Macaca mulatta: one gene and its partner. The protein of the gene in region 2 purifies or fractionates together with the protein of the main gene of each other region. This does not show direct contact. Links are inferred from orthologs where the notes say so. Each region holds a gene or a part of one and is shown on either strand. Other genes may lie near its edges.

The links.
Region 1: the proteins of GTSE1 (region 2) and ACAD11 purify together in Homo sapiens (co-immunoprecipitation; 3 studies listed by BioGRID and IntAct, counting the BioPlex papers as one, with this or other methods). This does not show direct contact. The link is inferred for Macaca mulatta from reciprocal best matches to the Homo sapiens genes GTSE1 and ACAD11.

Annotation. Positions count from the first base shown.
Region 1 is NC_133407.1:35,655,839-35,658,335, forward strand, and holds the end of ACAD11 (acyl-CoA dehydrogenase family member 11), read right to left. Parts: intron 1,758-2,497; coding exon 1,643-1,757; 3' UTR 785-1,642; downstream 1-784. UniProt on the Homo sapiens protein: Acyl-CoA dehydrogenase, that exhibits maximal activity towards saturated C22-CoA.
Region 2 is NC_133415.1:5,151,376-5,155,199, reverse strand, and holds part of GTSE1 (G2 and S phase-expressed protein 1), read left to right. Parts: intron 1-582; exon of another isoform or gene 583-888; intron 889-2,980; coding exon 2,981-3,199; intron 3,200-3,824. UniProt on the Homo sapiens protein: May be involved in p53-induced cell cycle arrest in G2/M phase by interfering with microtubule rearrangements that are required to enter mitosis. Overexpression delays G2/M phase progression.

The DNA of each region.
Region 1 (2,497 bases), on a different chromosome or scaffold from region 2:
GGGTGATGAGGACCCACCCTGAAGAAGCTCTTACCAATAACCACAGGCTGATGAGGAAATCAGTCCTCCGTAATCCGCTGAACTTTCTGTTGCGTGTTCTTAAAGTAACAAGGTCAATTACCAGAGACCTTTAACTAGCCCCTCCTCCGGATAATCACAGCTACCCCCGAGCATCCTAAATGTTTGCTGGAGAAAGACCATGACCTCTTCGTGTGGCGCCTCATGGTGTCTTCCCTGTCCGGCAGTCTCAAGGCCCCTCGTCGAGGCTCTGTCGCAGACCACTTGGCAATCTTGGAGGGGTCTTCATGGTAGAGCCCTGACTGGTGAGCTCTCTCATCCCTGCTCCCTCCCTGCCATCTCATTATTAGAAAGGGCAGTTTCTTGCTTTAAAACCATGTGGTTTCAAACACATGGCAAACCTGGCAGACTGTCCCAGATGAATGGCTGCCTAGTGACTCCCAGTGACAGACATAGCCCTAGAAATGGTCACAATGCTGAGGAGTTTACCTTTAGTCCATTCTCCCACCAGGACTGGGGCCCTGATCCTGATATTGATCTTTTCACTTTATCCTTTGGAGACTTTTTTCCTTTTCAAAACAATCCTTGGTGTTCTTTTTAACATAATTTTATCTGACTAAATTCAGGGAAGGGAGAGAGGTAAGTACAGATCACATGGAGTGACTTGCCTTAGGGAGGGCCAGATACATGACAATAGATTAACTAAAACAAATCAGCAACCAATCCAGCCCGCTTTCCTCAGACAGAGAAACACATTACAAAACTGTAAGGATCAGATATAGCCTTTAATTCCTAATGTTCAAAAACAATCCTGCCTTCTAAATCACAACTTTTAAAATTAATCATAAGGCTAAATAGTTCGAGTTGTAAGATCTGTCCACTTCAAATAAGGATACCTTTTATAAAGTACTTTATTGTGGTTTCACAGATTTCAAGGTGCTTCTACATGGCTTCAGGGACTCTCACAACAAACCCTCAGTGGGTCAGCGTCTTCTAAGATTAAAATATTAACACCAATGCATGCAAAGTAAAGTGAGGTACAGTGAGGTTAAGGCAAAGTGGCAATGTTAAAGAGGCCCACAACACACAAGGGATCAGAGCCCAGGCCAAATTCTTGCTCCCCACCTCCACCCCACCCCAAGAAGAAATTTATTTTTTATTTGTTTTTATTTTTAGAAAGAGTCTCACTCGGTCACCCAAGCTGGAGGCCATGTCATGATCACAGCTCCTGTAACCTCAAACTGCTAGACTCAAGCAATCTTCCTGCCTCAGCCTCCCAAGTAGCTAGGACTACAAGCATGTGCCACCACACTTGGCTCATTTAAAAATTTTTTTGTAGAGATGGGGGTCTCACTGTGTTGCCCAGGCTGCTCCCAAACTCCTGGCCTCAAGAAGGCACTAGATTGAATGACAACAGCTACAGCATTTCTTATTGAACTCAACCCTGTGTGACCCTTGAAATTATAAAACCCACTGATCAAAATAGATGCTATAATCTTTACCACAAGTGAATAATTAACCCTGTGCTCAAACTGCTGCAAAAATATGAGATTCAAATGTTGGAGCCAGTGAAGTTTGTATGAAGGAGAGTTTCTGCCGGTGGGATGTGGCAGTGCCACTCTCCTTACATCTTGGCTGTCAGCTTTTTGGCTTGGTCCTGCAGCTCCATTGTTGCAATTGCTGAAAGGTGAACTTCGTCAGGTCCATCTGCTAAACGCAAACTTCGGGTTACAGCATACCTGAAAAAGCAAAAGAACCAGGGATCACAGGGAGTTATGGAAGAGGAACATGATACTTTGACGTCAGTCACTCTGATTGTAAAACAAGACTATATTAGTTCTTAAATCCCACCAAGGTCACGGTAAGAAAAAGAGTACCAGGAAAATAAGCTAAAGGGCTTCTGCAATGCCATCTTAAAGTTCCCAACTTCGGAGAGTTAAATGGCAAAGTACAGTGGAGTTAATCTCATTCCTGGTTTCCTATAGTTTACTAGATGTTGCTAGAACTTAGAACAGGCAGTGAATGGTATGATACTATATATTTAGTTCTTTCTTAAGGGTAAAAATAGATGAAGGATGAGACTCTATGTCCAGCATGACAGAGAAGGAGACGCTGTAATTATGTGTGGAGATAGACAGATGGGGAATGGAGAATGCTCCTACCTCCCAGTAATCAGGATCTAGATATTAGATAGTCACTGACATGTACCGCTATAAATTCAGCGAAACCCCATGCTGTGTCTATGGCCCAGGAATTCTCGGTGGGTCACCTCAGTGTAAAAATTAACATAATTGAATGAAACGATTATTGTAATAATAAGAGCAACTATTTCTTGGTGTTCAGCTCTATATTAAAGTATGTATATCACTTCATTTAGCCTTCAATTACACTGAAACTAAATGTAAGCAATTCTTGTCAAGGCATCTATAGATTTTTTACCTCCATGCCTATCAAATGTAGATGATTCTTAAATGACATC
Region 2 (3,824 bases):
ACCGTCCCCTGAGCCCCAGTGCAGCTCTGTGGACCCTGGCACAGCACAGGAGAGCTCGTACTGGTGCCCTTTAGCCTGTGTGCACCTCAAAGTCTCCTGTGTGGAGCTGGGCAGCAGGAAGGACACTCAGACCCCCCGGACCAGCATGGGGTCCTGGTGCCAGTGTGTGACCAGGCGGGCACTGCTCTGGGCCTTGCTGAGGTGGAGTGGGCAGAGTAAGCCTGGGCTAGGACACCGGAGAGGGTGCCACTGGCTCTGCCACAGACCAGCCTGGGGCCGCTTGCAAGTCTTTTAATGACTCCGGGCTTTAGTTTCCTCCTGTGTGAGCTCAGGACACGCTTTGCAAGGTCGAACCAGCCAGTCCCTCACGTGGTGCATGTGGTACAGTGCTAAGCTGCTGTCCCTCCCACGCATGGTGGTGAAGAGCAAAGACCAGACCCAGGCAGCCACTGGTCACCTCACTTGCCTCTCTGTGCCTCAGTTTCCTCAACTCACCCAGGATTACTTTGAGGATTACATTCATCAGAATTTTTTCTTGTTTTTTTTTTAATCCAAAATGTGTTTACTGAGATGGTTTCCCACTCATCTTGATTCAGAGTGCTTTTAGTGCCGCTTCCTCCTAAAGGAACATCCTTCTGTAAGCCTTGCTTTTCCTCCTGTAGGCTGGCAGAGGACAGTGGAGCAGCCAACACACAAAACTACCGTTTGTGCATGGCTAAAGATCGTGGTGATTTTATAGCATCCTGGGCATTTCACATCCATGAAGTAGGAATTGGGGCTCTGCACCAGGCGTTTCTTCTTTGTTTCCTCTTCTCTTCTGGGAAGGGATGAAGGAGATCCTTTGCGAGAGGCATGTTCTCGTATGGGTAGGTCGTCACTGCCAGAAAGGAGCCAATTTTTCTTTTCTTTTTTTTTTTTTTTTTTTTTTTGAGACAGAGTCTCGCTCTGTCGTCCAGGCTGGAATGCAGTGGCCGGATCTCAGCTCACTGCAAGCTCCGCCTCCCGGGTTCATACCATTCTCCTGCCTCAGCCTTCCGAGTAGCTGGGACTACAGGTGCACACCACCACGCACGGCTAATTTTTTGTATTTTTAGTAAAGACGGGGTTTCACCGTGTTAGCCAGGATGGTCTCCATCTCCTGGCCTCATGATCCACCCGCCTTGGCCTCCCAAAGTGCTGGATTACAGGCGTGAGCCACCGTGCCCGGCTGAAATTTTTATTTTCACTGGAATTTGTGGTGGGGCTTCCAGAACTTAGCAATAAAGGGAGGAGGGTGGGGAATCCCAGAACGTGGCAGAGAGCAGCGGCTGGGGGTGACAGCAGTTGCTCTCTGGAGTGATTCTGTTTTTCTCTTGATTTCAGCCTCTTTGCTTTTTTTCCATTTAAATAAGCTAGAGTCAGTCTGTTTTCAGGCTCCTTTTGAAGTATGTTAACAATTGCCCAGAATAGAGCAACAGACAGGTCTCCCTGGTCTCCTGTGGGGGCCACGTGGTGGGATGTCCTTGACTCATTTTATTTTAAAATAATGTCTTTGTCCTTTTTGGGTTACTATAACAAACGTTCTGTCGGCTGTGTAGCTTGAACAACAAACATTTGTTTCTCACAGTTCTGGAGGCTAGAAATCCAAGATCAAGGTACCTGCAGATTTGGTGTCGGGTGAGGGCCTGTTTCCTGATTGACAGATGCCTCCTTCTCTCTGTCCTCACTGGAGTAGGGGTGAACAAGTCTCTTTTATGTTTATTTATTTATTTGTTTATTTTGGATGGAGTCTAGCTCTGTCACCTGGGCTGGAGTGCAGTGGCACGATCTCAGCTCACTGCAACCTCCACCTTCTAGGTTCAAGCGATTCTCCTGCCTCAGCTTCCCGAGTAGCTGGGACCACAGGCACATGCCACCACACTTGGCTAATTTTTTGTATTTTTAGTAGAGACAGGGTTTCACCATGTTAGCCAGGATGGTCTTGATCTCCTGACCTCGTGATCCACCTGCCTCGGCCTCTCAAAGTGCTGGGATTACAGGCATGAGCCACTGCTCCTGGCCTATGTTTGTTTATTTTTCTGAGACAGGGTCTTGCTCTGTTGCCCAGGCTGGAGTGCAGTAGTGCAATCATGGCTCACTATAGCCTCCACCTCCTGGGTTCAAATGATCCTCACACCCCAGCCTCCTGAGTAGCTTGGACCACAGGTATGCACAAGTGTGCCCTCTTTTCTAAGGGCACAGATCTCATTCCTGAGGGCTCTGGCTCCATGACCTGATCTCCTCCTAAAGGCCCCACCTTCTAATGCCATTACCTTAGGGGCTAGGATTTCAGCACATGAATCTGGGGACACAGACATTCAGTCCACAGCAAATGACAGTTGACTCAGCCTCCTCTTCATCAACAGCAACATAAGAAAGCAACAGTTAGGCAAGACCCATGGGTAGCCCGAGCCACAGGTATTGCCAGGGATGTGAGGGGTGTGAGGACCAAGTGCCCAGCTCCCTCTTCACTCATTTGTGTTCACATTTGATTCAGGCAACCTTAAGCCTGGGAATGAGTGGGCGTGCAGCGAGACCTGCTCCCCCATTCGCTGGCCCACCAGACAGGCTGCGGCTCTGACTTCCTTATGGCAATATCTATGACACCGCCAAAAGATGATTTGCTCAGTCTCTTCAGAACTTCCTGTGAAGTGACATTCAATGGTAGCATCCGTAAAGTGCAGTCACATTTGATCAATTTTCTTTGAGTCGCCTGTGAGGAAGGGCAGTGAAGGCATTCCCACTGGGAGCCCGAAGCCCACACCAGGGCGGGTTGGTAGCAGCTCGGAGCCCTGCCCGCCTTGGGGCGTGTCCCGGGAGAGCAGAGCTCACACAGGCTCGAGGGCTCGGCTCTTCTCGGCTGGGACCGAAGCACTCGGCGCTGCATTGGCACAGGCTGAATGATTAGGTTTCACTTTTTTTATGTCATCTCAGCTGACGACATTGATGTTGTGTTTGCCAGGGTCCCCGTCCACAGCACCCCAGTTAGACGCTCATCTGGGCCAGCACCACAAAGCCTGTTGAGCGCACGGCGTGCGTCAGCCTTGCCCACACCCGCCAGGCGGCGCTTATCTGGCCTTCCACCGATGACCCCCAAAATGATGCCCAGGGCCGTGGCCTCTCCCCTGTGTGTGCCGGCCCAGAGACTTTCCTCTGAGCCCCGCAAGAACTCTGCGATGAGGTAAGAGATGAAGGTGATAATAAGTTGGTCTCAAATTCCTAGGCTTGGTGTCCTAGACATTGACATACCTTTTTCTTGCCTTGCTCCAGGGTTTAGTGAAGTAAATAATATTTGGAAAGTTTTGTTTTCTTTTTTTTTAATTGCAAAGAGAAAATGCAATAGACATGAGCATAGAGGAAAATTAAAGGTATTACAAGGAAATACTGCCTGTAATTATCTGATAATCAATCTGAAAACCTAATGCTTTTCTAAAATTTGCAAATTATTGGCTGAGTGTGGTGAGTCACGCCTATAATCCCAGCACTTTGGGAGGCTGAAGCAGGCAAATTGCCCGAGCTCAGGAGTTTGAGATCAACCTGGGTAACATGGCAAAACCCCATCGCTACAAAAAATACAAAATTAGCCAGGTGTGGTGGCATGCACTGTAGTCCCAGCTGTTTAGGGGGCTGAGGTGGGAGGATCACTTGAGCCCAGGAGGTTGAGGCTGCAGTGAGCTGAGATTGCCCCGTTGCACTCCAGCCTGGGGGACAGAGTGAGACCCCATCTCTAAAAAATTAATAAAGTAAAATAAAATAAAATAGAATAAAATAAAATAAAATTTATCTAAATTGACCCAAGGACACAT